3 linked regions of the Ovis aries genome follow. The protein of the gene in region 1 binds, or shares a complex with, the protein of each later gene. Links are inferred from orthologs where the notes say so. Each region holds a gene or a part of one and is shown in the gene's direction. Other genes may lie near its edges.

Region 1 (3,601 bases):
ATCCTTGTTCCTCAACCAAGGATCAGACTCATGCCCCCTGCAGTGAAAGAGCAGAGTGCTAACCACTGGACCATCAGGGAATTCCAGCTCCAGGAATTTAGAAGATTGTGTACCCTCAGCCAATAACTTTTCTTAGCCTTTTTCATCATATGAAAAATGAAACCAATAATAGTAAATATACCTCTCATGTATTACCTACATAAAAATATATTTTATGTTAAAGATGTGTCTCTATCCTGAAGGACTTATATTACCTAGAGTTATTTTTAAATTTTAGGAATAAAATATAAAGTAAGGCGGTATGGGTTCTTAGATCACACCAAACTATAATCATTGTATCTTATGAGCCAAGCATATCACAGAACATTAATCATACAACTCATGTCTTAGCATTCTCCAGCTTCCTTCAGTTATCTTTACCTGGTTATACACTTAGTTTTTGTTTTGGTTTGGACCTAATAGTGTATTTGTTTAAATACTGTTTCTGATTTTCTCAGCCACCTATCTAACATTTTCAGATGATGCACTATCAGATTGATACCCTGGTGGAGCACAACAGATACTTGGCCTTCTTCACAGCGTTTTATTATATAACTTTTAATTGTTCTTTAAATTATTTACATTTTTGGCACACACACACCCCCATACACACAATTATTTTTTGGGGGTGTTTGCACTGGGTCTTTGTTGCTACACGCAGGCATTCTCTGGTCGCAGCGAATAGGAGCCACTCCTCGTTGTGGTGTGTGAGCTTCTCATTGCAGTGGCTTCTCTTCTTTGCAGAGCACAGGCTCAGTAGTTGTGGTACAAGGGCCTGGTTGCACCGCAACCTGTGAAATTTGCCCAAACCAGGGATCGAACTCGTGTCCCCTGCATTGGCAGGCAAACCCTTATCTACTGTGCCACCAGGGAAGTCCTTTCCCCCACTTCTTAACACTATAGTAAATTATCATATAAGCATTTTGTTAAAATTATTTTTCAAAATTGTATCTTAATAATATTTAATGTCAAAATGAAGGTGTAGTTACTGACTCCAATTCCAAATCACAAAGACAAAATCTAAACCAGGTAATTCAAGAAAGGGAACATAATATAAGGAAACTCTAGCAGAAGTCTTATAAGAGTGAAGAATAGAGAAGTAGGAGGTAACTCAGAGTTTAACAACTGCAGTAAACCTAAGACTGTAGAGAAAATGATAGGATCCAACTACCCAGTGGAAATGGTGTCTTTAGAGAATAGGCTGCCTGGCGAGAGCAGGCACCGTGGAGCAATCAGAGTCACTGCCAAAGACCCAGTCTTAAAGAGAGAGGACCACAGAGTTGCCTGTCTGCCCTCTTTCTCCTGACCTTAGACTTCTGACAGTTTCTTCCACTTAATGAGCCCATCTAGGGTACTGCAGGCATGGGGACCTGCAATATGTCATGTCCTGGTGGCAAAGAAGGGCAGGGCAGAGCGGGGTGAGGAGTGGGCTGAAGATAAGCTCACAGAGGAACGGTTGTCTACATTGCTCTAAGAGGTTGTGGTGCACATGAACAACAGCATACCAGACATCGTGCTGATCAAAGTGGGCCAGTGTTTTTATTCACTGACTTAGTTGGATTCTCCCAGAAGCAGGATGGGAAAGAGGAAAGGAGCCAAGGAAGGGAACAGTTCTGGTGACAAAGGTCTAGGGTCAACCTAATTCATGCAGGGCTCTGAAGTGTTTGTTATATATCGGGATTTTCCTTGTCTTGCCAAGCAAGCTTCATTTTTGATTCTCACCTTTTCCCCCAACCACCTACTGCCTGCTCTAAATGCAGTGTTTGGTATGCTTCTATTGCTTAACCCAGTTACTTGCTATCATTACCTTAATCTGCATTGCTAATTATAGAGAAGCTTTGCACTTTGCAACAGGGGAAAATGAGAAAGGAAAGAATCTTTAATCATATCCGAGCTAAAGTATTAAATGCCAGCCAGCTTTTGAACTTCTGAGGTTTTAAATTCAGTGATGTAGAATTTAAGATATATTTGACAAGAATCAGTTAGAAGCAAAATGTATTTGCCAATCATGTAATACTCCCATTTATCGGTTAAGTAGATAGTGGAAATGGTACTTACTTAGTGTAACATTTGTCTCACTTGTAATTTACAAAGTACTTTCATACACGTTATCTAACTTGATGTTCACAATATCCTTGAGTACTAAGTGTAAAGGTTTTTATCCCCATTTTTTAGCAGAGAGAAATAGCGTGAGAGCTGACTTGCTTATAAGGGCCCATTAGTTAGGGAATAGCAAAACAAGGCTTCTTATCCATTGAACACTCACAGAATTTTAGAAACAAAAGGAAATGTAGCATCACATTTAATTTTATTCTTTTAGAAATGAGGTACCAAGAGTCTAGTGCTAGTAATTTACAGAGCAAACTCTCAGGAACCCTCATCTCCTGGTTACCAGGCCAGTATACTTTCTATTAGGCTGTGTCTCACATAGAGACAACCAAACTGAAATGTATTAATATTTGCGATATTTAAGTACCATAATCTTAAAAATTCTATTAATATAAAAAGAATAAAACAAATCGTTTTAAGTTCTTAATGTCCAGCAGTGTTTTAAAACTAAAGCACCCAGATTTCAGTACGTGTGGAATGAATACAAACCTGGCCTTTTTTCCTTTGCAGCACCAGCATTGGATGTTGACTGGCAGAGCAACAACACTTTCGCTTCTTGTAGTACAGATATGTGCATTCATGTCTGTAAATTAGGACAAGACAGACCTATTAAAACATTCCAGGGACACACGGTGAGAAACTTTTTTCTCCCTCCTTTAAAGCAATTGTGATGAATAAGTAATGTTTCAGTGGTTTTGAAGTATGTGTTTAATACCCAAAGAACAACCAAGTCTATGGAATGAAAATGTGAATGTTTACTGTTATTTTTAGAATGAAGTAAATGCTATCAAATGGGACCCAACTGGCAATCTCCTGGCATCCTGTTCTGATGACATGACCTTGAAGGTAATTCAGATAGGAGGGAGGAAGGGGGCTGAGGAGTTATACAGTGTGGCTGCGCTGGCCATTCTCAGAATGTGCCTCTTGTAGTTGGGAATTATGATACTAAGATTTGTGTTATTATAAATTGCCTTTGCTAGTAATGAGTCATATTTTGGTACAATGAAAGGTTATTTGCTCATGTAAAGATCTGACTCACAGGTAATTAATGAAGATCTTTGTAGGATTCATGGGTTTGACTGATATTCTGAGCAGTGTATTAATTGGGTTTTTGCTGTGGTGTGGATATATATCACCTTTGCTCGGAAACTGATGTGTAGTGGATATATAGCTTAATCGGTGAATGAGCATAGTTGACATGTCAGAATTCACATCTCAATATGAGTTTACATTTTTCTTGTTTTATAACTAAAAGCAAAAACTAGCACCTAGCCCCTGTGTATATCACATACCAGAATTAAGGGGTGAGAAAAGCTTTTTGAGATAAAGAAAAATATAATAATCTTCAAAATTAATGAAGCTTGAGCTGTATACTTCATCAAATTAGCTCTACTAAAAATAATTTACCTTTGATTTTACAATGCCACTGCCTACAAACGTGATAACCTTCATA
Region 2 (4,064 bases), on another chromosome or scaffold:
TGAAGGTGACAAGTAAGTACTATGGAAGCGGAAAGTAGAGCAGAGTGAAGTGCATCAGGAGTGTGGTTGGAGCACACAAGATCGGGTAGTCCAGGTAGATATCACTAGGATGAATCTGAGCAAAGACTTGGGCAGGACAAAGTCAGTAGAACAGGCATTGGGAGGAAGACCATTTCAGGTAGAGATGAGGCTGCAGCCAAGCCCCTGTAAGGAAGGAGTGACTACTAGGAACAGCAGGGCCTGTTGCTAATTGAGGTGGTTGCAGGTGCCAAGGGGCAGAGGTACTGGGGCCAGAGGCCTCACTGCCCTATTTCTGCTTGTTACCTGACAGATTCCGGGACCCCAAATCCCAGCGGACGCACCAGGCCCAGGTGGCGTTCCAGGTGTGTGTGCGCCCTGGCTCCTACACCCCGGGACCCCCTTCTGTGGCCCTCAGAGAGCCTCCCGATCCTCACTTCAGCCCAGCTGAACTTGAGTGGGTGACCAAGGAGAAAGGGGCCACGCTCCTCTATGCCCTGCTGGTACGGGTGGAGTGAGGGGCGAGGCCGCACCACTACAAGCACAGTTGGGCCTCGGCCCGTGGACTCGGAATGATGACTGCCTCCAGGTCATTCCAGCGCTCCGCGACATGCATGGTGCTCAGCCTGGCAGATGCACAGGAGCGTGTGGGCAGGCTCCTAGACTAGCTGGGAAGCGGAGCTTGGCTCCGTGCCCCGGCCGGAAGGGGACGTCCCTCCCTCCGCGGTGAGGGCGCAGTGGGGAGCCCGGCCGCAGACCCCGGGAAACCCTCTCCATGCACTGATCTGGGGAGCATGACTCCCCGCGACTCCTCCCCCATACACTTAATTTATTTCCGTTTCTGTTCCCTGGTTACTGTGAATCCCAGAGGCGTCTCCTCGTGCCCCAACGAAGCTGCTGTTCCGGCCCGGGCGGGAGTGGGGAAGGCGGGGGCCGGGGCTCGGGCCTCTGTACAGTTGTTACTGACTCTGATTTATAAGGAGCCAATAAACGAAGTCTAAGAGCAGCCGCCTCGGCCCCTGTTTCGCGTGCCTCTCGTCCACGGGAGGAGCCCCGGCCCCGCCAACTTCGGGGGCTCCGCCCGCTGGGCGGGCCGGGTCGGGGAGTCTCGTGGGGCACATAGCGGGGGTTTGGACACCACGAGCACCCGTCGCCGGCACTTCCGTCTGCGCCGCTCCGCCCAACCAGCGAGCCCGCGGAGGCCCGACTCCGGAAGGATTCGGCCCAGCGGCCGGATGTGACGCCGCGGTCCTGCAGCTCGGGAGGCCACAGAGAAAGCGACGAGAAGGCGAGTAGGGTGGGGCGGGCGCCCGGGTGGCGGGCAGGGGCGGGAGCACGGAGACCGAGACCCAGGCCCGCGCACGCGGAAGAGCCGCGCTGTGGGCCCGGCCGGGCGGCGGGCACGTGACCGGGGCGGCGGGCGGCGGCTTCCGCCTGGACGCGGCCCGCTCCCACTGAGCTGCCGCCTCCCCGCAGGCCCGGCCAGAGGTCTGGCAGCCAGCGACAGAGCCGGGCGCTCACGGCCCGAGCGTCCCCAGCAGCACCATGCCTGCGCTTCTGGAGCGTCCGAAGCTGTCCAACGCCATGGCCAGGGCGTTGCACCGACACATCATGATGGAGCGGGAGCGCAAGCGGCAGGGTGAGCCGGGCTCAAAGCGGGAGGACACACGGTTCGGGCGCTCCGCGGTCCACGGTGACCCCCACCCACGGGCAGACCAGTGCACGACGGCCGAAGCCAGAGGGACAGCTAGCCCCGTGGTGATGGTGGTGGGAGTTAAAAAAGGCCACGCCCGGAGCTGGGAAGGACCTTGGAGAGCACCTAATAAACCTCCCCGTTCCAGCCCCCTCACAGTGATGAAGCCTATTCCAGAGCACTGGGATAACCAGTTTTTGCTGTTCTTCAGTTCTTAATGTTCTAATATTTTAACACCCTGCCGCTTGCCCATTCTGCCTCTTATTTCAGAGGAGGAAGAAGTGGACAAGATGATGGAACAGAAGATGAAGGAAGAGCAGGAGAGAAGGAAGAAAAAGGAGATGGAAGAGAGAATGTCACTAGAGGAGACCAAGGAACAAGTAAGCAGTCCCTCCATCTCTCCCACTTCTTTCTTCTCTTGGCTCTCCTGCTTTCATCTTCTCTCCCCTCCCCAGATCCTGAAGTTGCAGGAGAAGCTTTTAGCTCTACAGGAAGAGAAGCATCAACTTTTCCTGCAGCTCAAGAAAGTTTTACATGAGGAAGAAAAACGGAGGCGAAAAGAGCAGAGGTGAGATTAAAGAACTAAAAATAAAATCGAGGCCAAAGTGTAACAGGGATCAGGTAACAAAAGATCAGTGTTTAATGGCAAATGGGAAGGGAAGTGTGTGGGGGTGGAGACAGGACAGACTTGTCTTTGACCCGCTTTCCTTTCGCTCCAGTGACCTGACCACTCTGACATCAGCAGCATACCAGCAAGGCCTGACCGTTCACACCGGAACTCACCTCCTCAGCATGCAGGGTGAGGATTAAGAAACTACTGGTCAGAATGGGCCCTCCTGGGAGTTGCAACATCATGAAGCACCCCTCTCCCTCTCTAGGGAGCCCTGGAGGACACAATCGCCCAGGCACCCTCATGGCAGCTGACAGAGCCAAACAGATGTTTGGACCCCAAGTACTTACGGTAAGAGTAGGAAGATTGGGTGTCTAGGCTGAATTTTTTTTTCCTACTTCCACCCAGACCCTAGCATCTTCACCAGCCAGCACTCAAGTCTTGAGTGTGTCTACATCTGAATAGGGGGAATGGGGGTGCTGTCACTTGAATTTCTGCTTCATGGAGTTTACAGGCAGTGAGTTTTCATCCTTCCTTCTTAGACCCGGCACTACGTGGGCTCAGCAGCTGCTTTCGCAGGGACCCCGGAGCATGGGCAATTCCAAGGTAGCCCGGGTGGCGCCTATGGAGCTGCTCAACCCCCACCTCACTATGGACCCACGCAGCCTGCCTACAGTCCTAGTCAGCAGCTCAGAGGTGAGGTGGGAAGAGGAATTTTCCTCAAGACCCAAAGGGAGGAGTGTTGAACAGGCTACAAGGAAGTTCTAATGGCCTCCTGCCTTCCTCAGCACCTTCCGCGTTTCCTGCAGTGCAGTACTTGTCTCAGCCACAGCCACAGCCCTATGCCGTGCACAGCCACTTTCAGCCCACCCAGACAGGTGATGGGAACACCCCATGCTGGGGCCCAGTTCCATGCATCCTACCTTCCTCCTTTCCCCCTTCTCCATTCACTTCACACTCCTTCCCCGCCTAGGGTTTCTCCAGCCTGGTGGTGCCCTGTCCTTACAAAAGCAGATGGAACACGCTAACCAGCAGACTGGCTTCTCTGACTCAGTGAGTAGAACCTTGCAAAGTCAAGGGCTGCCTATGCTAAGGGGAACCTCAGGCTGCCTCAGTTGCTGACACTGTTCTCTGCAGTCCTCCCTGCGTCCCATGCATCCCCAAGCTCTGCATCCTGCCCCTGGACTCCTGGCTTCACCCCAGCTTCCTGTGCAGATGCAACCAGCAGGAAAGGTAAGGGTGGTGATCGGGTCCCTCAGAATCCCTGCATTGCACCGTTTTCCTTTCCCCTCCCTGGGGTGGCTCTCTGGTGTGGAGTAGACAGGAGGGTGTGCACACTGACAAGGCCCTCCTTTCATCACCACTGCCAGTCGGGCTTTGCAACCACCAGCCAGCCTGGCCCTCGGCTCCCCTTCATCCAGCACAGCCAGAATCCACGATTCTACCACAAGTGACCATCAGATTTATCTTCAGCCTTGACCCCAACCCCTGCCCTTGGGGAGGATCCCCGGTATCCCAGTACCAGGCCAATAAAATCTACCTGCCACTGCCCCTGGCTGCTGTCTGTGTTGCCTCCCACTGGACTGTTTAAGAGGGTGGGCAGTGGCTGGCAGGAATCACAGGGCGACAGCAGGGTTGGTTGTAATGAACTCAGCAGCAGAGTTCATTCAACCTGTACTCTTCAGATTTCCAAATAAATACCCATTTAATTCAAAAAAGCAGTTGAGTTGGGGACTTCATATT
Region 3 (4,269 bases), on another chromosome or scaffold:
TTGGATTTCTGGCCTATCTCAATCAGCAGTAAGGCCCAATAGAAGACTTTGGGACCAGACCTATTGTGTGTTTCCTAGCTAGAGACCCCTGGGTAGGTCATTCCCATTCTGGCCTCAGTTTCCCCATGTGTGCACTTCAGATAGTCAGCAGATGTTGATGTTCAGTTGCCCAGTTGAGTCCGACTCTTTGCTTCGCCATGGACTGCAGCATGCCCGGCCACCCTGTCCCTCACAAGTTCACGTCTATTGCATCCATGATGCTATCCAGCCAGCTATCTTATCCTCTAACACCCTCTCCTTCTGCCCTCAGTCTTTCCCAGCATCAGGGACTTTTCCAATGAGTCAGCTGTTCACATCAGATGACCAAAATACTGGAGCCTCAGCTTCAGCATCAGTCCTCCCAACAAGTATTCAGGGTTGATTTCCCTTAAGATTGACTGGTTTGCTCTCCTTGCTGCCCAAGTAACTCTCAGGAGTCTTCTCCAACACCACCGTTCGAAGCCATCAATTCTTTGCTGCTCTGCCTTCTTCACAGTTCAGCTCTCACAACCAAACGTGACCACTGGGCAGGCGGTCTTCATCAGATGGATCAGTGTTAGGAGGAAGGAAGGGGCAGGGGAGGAGGAGCACACCTACACAGCATCTCTAGGGAGAGTCCCAGGGTGTGTCTATTGCAGAGCCCACCAATGGCCTCCCCACCGGTCTATATGCCCAGGCCCCCCAGAAAGGCCTCTGTCAACCAGCCTGTCCCCAAACGCCGTCCCAGCCACCCACTATCATGGCACAGAGGGGTAAGAGGCAGATACACCGCTGGGAGGTCACACCCACTGGAATCTGGGAAGACTTCCCGGAGAGGGACGTTGGTACTGGCCTTGGAAGGAAGGACAGTAGGAGGTGAGGGAAGAGAACTCCAGGCAGAGGGGACAGCGTGAACAAAGGCATAGATGTGTGACAGTGCAAGGGAGTGCACCAGTTACTGGCCCTGGCACTATGCGAATTAAGACGTTGAGGTGAATTAACAGTTACTGAGCCACGTACTGTTCTAGCTCCTAGAGATACACCACTAAACAAAGAGCTCTTCTCAAGAGAGGTGGTGTGGTAGTGTAGTTATAAGCTTGGGGTTGGGAGCCACTCTACCTAGGGTTGAATTACTACCTGTGTGATCTTAGGCAAACTACTTAACCTCTCTGTGCCTTAGCTTCCTCATGTGTAAAATAGATGAGTAACAGGTAACCTCATAGGTTTGTGTGATGTAAACTATGGTGATGCATTGAAGGTGCCTAGAACTGTGCCTGGCTCATTAAGTGCTAGCTGATGGTATTCCTAAAAGGCTGGACCACCCCCATCTCTGTCCCAGTGCCTAGCGTGCAAAACCCCATAGCCGGCGGGAACGGGCAGCAGCGCCCCCTCCTGGCCACAGAGAGAAAGAAGGGCGTCCTCCGGGTCCTCCCCGCCCTCTTCCTGCAGGCTTACTGAGAAGCCTAAGGAATTACTCCACCAGCCCAGGTTCACAGAGCGCTGCTCCCGAGGTCGGCTCTGCGCACGCACTTCACCAGGCAGGTAAATTAGATCGTCTCATCTAATTTTCAAACAGCTCTCTGAGGCAGACACAGTTACTGCTTCCCTTTCATCAGGGGCGTAACTGAGGCTCCCGGAAGGTCGAGTCCCTTGTTCCAAGCCATTCGGCGAGGGAGCGGCGGGGCGCGAAGGTAGGCGAGTATGACTGTCCCCAGCCTCGGCTCGGTTAGCCGGGCAGCCCGCCCCAATCACTGCGGCGTGTGCACGCGGGTGTGCGCGCCCGTTCTGCGCGCGTGTGCGCGCTCCGGGACCAGTCCCGGGGGCCAGGAGCGCGGACAAGGGCTCGAGAAAGGAGGGGTGGCCCCCGAACTCGCGGGGCGCGAGGGCGGGGCATGTGCCTAGCCCTTGCCCCGCCCACCGGCCCCACCCGCCGACTTCGGTGGGGAGGAGGAGGCGGCGGCGCTGGGCTCCGGGACTCGGAGGCGGCTAAGAGCGCGGAGCCGGAGCTGGACGCCGCCGCCGCCGCCACCGCCACCGCCACCTGCGCGGCAGTCATCAAGGTAGGGCGGCCCCGGGCCGCCGGCCATACCTTCCCGGTTTGTGCGATGTGTGCGCGCTGCGCCTCCGGGCTGCAGCGCATGGGGAGGGATGCTGGGGCTCGGCGCACCGCGGGGGACCCGGCGGGGCGCGGGGGACCTGGCTTCCAGCCCCTCCGCGTGACCTTGCACAAAGCACTGCTCCTCTCCAGGCCTCAGTTTCCCCATCGGAATAGCCGGCGCAGTGGTGGCACGTTCCTCGCCTGACTGTTAGAGTAGGGGCCGCCTCAGGCTCCAGCCTCCCGACGGCGCGGGGCCCGCATGGGCACTGTCTGCGCAGCCCACCCGGAGTGAGCGCAGCTCATGCTGGGTGTGGCTGGCCGTGCCCGTCAGCCTCCTTCCCGCCCCCCGCTAGCGGCCTGGGTGCCTCGCGGGACCCGTGTGGTACTCGACCCTCTCCTGGCTGAGAAACCTGCTGGACCTCAGCTTCCGGGCACGAGAAATAGGCAGGGGGAGCGGACACCCCCCAGGTCCCTGTGGAGCCGGCCTGGGCATGCAGGGTGGAGCCATCAGAGTCTGCCAGCCAAGTCTACCTCGCGGTCTGGGGCGGCGGGAGCCCTGGGCTGGAGGTAGTGGGGGCCTTGGCCCCAGACTTGCCTAGACCAGACCTGTGCAAGCACCTGGATTTAGGGAATGGTGCGGAACCTGCCCTCCCCATACCCTTCCCTTCCTTTCCCCACCAGGTGCTGACGCTCAGCTCGGTGTCCCAGCCTGCTGGGATAGGGCTAGGTCCATGCATGGACCCCAGAGGGGCTCCAGCACCGGGAGAGCCATGTCTGGGTGGGGTTGGGTCTGGGACAGAGCAGGTGTCGGAGGGACTGTGTGTGGCTCCAGACTCTCTGTGTAAAGAAGAATCTTGGCATTTGGCCCAGCCCCTTGGTCAGATCCCCTCTGGAAGGTCTTACTGCCCAGTTGCACACCCCTTATTATGGGAATCTCACTAGCTGCAAACAGAGCTAGGATCTGCTAGTCCTGCTCTGAGCACACAGACAACATCTGACTCCTCCCTGCCTCCCAACCTGGGGTAGTCATCTGGACCCTTAAGCCAGTTCACCTCAGGGATAAACAGCCCCACATCCAACATTGTTTCTCCTGTTGGAGTTGAAGAGAGCCAAGGCGGGACCAGGAAGCTGAGGTGTCTGCCCCAGAGGGGGCAGTAGTCAGCCTGGGGCTTGTTCACAACCCACTTCCTTAGGATTTACCTGCAGGTGAGCAGCTGCCTTAGGTCTGGAGTGAGAGGAGCCAGAGGAGCCTCTCTCCGGACCTTATCCTCTCCTGTCACCCGCCCTGATTGAGGGAGCAGGTTCAGAGCATCAGGTCTGGGCCTTCTGGTCTCCCTTGTCCTCCCACGAGACCTGTCCCTCACCTGGGAGCTTTCTTACAGCCAAAAAAAGGGCTGCTGGGGCAGGGGGTGCCCGCTGGGTCCTCAGAGGTGTGTGAGCAGAGGTTGGCCAAGCACTTGCTGAGGGTGAGCTACCTTTGACTGCAAGTCTGGGACTCTCAGGCTGAAGTAGCGTGACCACGACCTTACCTTCTGGCCATGGAGGAGCTGCACGGGACTTGAGGCTAGACCACAGATGAGTGTTATTATTCCCTCGTAAAAGCAGACTAAGTATCTGTCCTGTCACTCAAGTGTAGCTCCCTCGCACAGGCTTAAGTGCTCCCTGTGTCTCCTGTCGTCTCTACCTGCGTATAATCCGGGCTTTGTTTTCCTGTTCCACTAGTCCAAGCTGTTTGGACCTTGATTTAGAGGTATGACAGATCCTGGGTATTAAACAGTCATCCTAGGCCAATAATTTTAAAATGCACCATGGAATTATGAAATATCTAAGCTGAAAGGAATCTTAAAAAATCATCTCATTCAACCCCGTCATTTTACAGATAGATATCCTCTGTCCCTGGAGGGGATGTGACTTGTCAAAGATCACACAGCAGACAAGCAACCAAGCCCAGAGATCTTTATTCCAGGCCTTGTGTGTATGTCTGAAAACACATACCATATAGTAAATGAAAGTACTCTATTTATTCCAAAATTAGCAGAAATAAATGTAAAAGGATAAAACTCTATGCTGGTAAAGCTATAGGGATTCTCCAGTAGCATTTAATTTTACAGGGCAATCTGGCAGCTTGTTCCAAAAGTCCATGAAAATGGTCC

The links.
Region 2: TBL1XR1 (region 1) and GPS2 share a complex: the UniProt entries of both Homo sapiens proteins name them as parts of the N-Cor repressor complex. The link is inferred for Ovis aries from reciprocal best matches to the Homo sapiens genes TBL1XR1 and GPS2.
Region 3: TBL1XR1 (region 1) and CORO2A share a complex: the UniProt entries of both Homo sapiens proteins name them as parts of the N-Cor repressor complex. The link is inferred for Ovis aries from reciprocal best matches to the Homo sapiens genes TBL1XR1 and CORO2A.

The regions. Positions count from the first base shown.
Region 1 is NC_056054.1:210,755,503-210,759,103, forward strand, and holds part of TBL1XR1 (F-box-like/WD repeat-containing protein TBL1XR1), read left to right. Parts: intron 1-2,658; coding exon 2,659-2,780; intron 2,781-2,919; coding exon 2,920-2,994; intron 2,995-3,601. UniProt on the Homo sapiens protein: F-box-like protein involved in the recruitment of the ubiquitin/19S proteasome complex to nuclear receptor-regulated transcription units. Plays an essential role in transcription activation mediated by nuclear receptors.
Region 2 is NC_056064.1:26,910,396-26,914,459, reverse strand, and holds GPS2 (G protein pathway suppressor 2), read left to right. Parts: upstream 1-1,251; 5' UTR 1,252-1,306; intron 1,307-1,494; 5' UTR 1,495-1,563; coding exon 1,564-1,657; intron 1,658-1,981; coding exon 1,982-2,091; intron 2,092-2,166; coding exon 2,167-2,279; intron 2,280-2,430; coding exon 2,431-2,510; intron 2,511-2,589; coding exon 2,590-2,672; intron 2,673-2,863; coding exon 2,864-3,017; intron 3,018-3,109; coding exon 3,110-3,199; intron 3,200-3,294; coding exon 3,295-3,374; intron 3,375-3,458; coding exon 3,459-3,641; 3' UTR 3,642-3,691; coding exon of another isoform or gene 3,692-3,775; 3' UTR 3,776-3,870; downstream 3,871-4,064. Other genes in the region: NEURL4 (neuralized-like protein 4), read left to right, coding at 332-536. UniProt on the Homo sapiens protein: Key regulator of inflammation, lipid metabolism and mitochondrion homeostasis that acts by inhibiting the activity of the ubiquitin-conjugating enzyme UBE2N/Ubc13, thereby inhibiting 'Lys-63'-linked ubiquitination.
Region 3 is NC_056055.1:49,564,781-49,569,049, forward strand, and holds the start of CORO2A (coronin-2A), read left to right. Parts: upstream 1-1,455; 5' UTR 1,456-1,709; intron 1,710-1,989; exon of another isoform or gene 1,990-2,078; intron 2,079-4,269.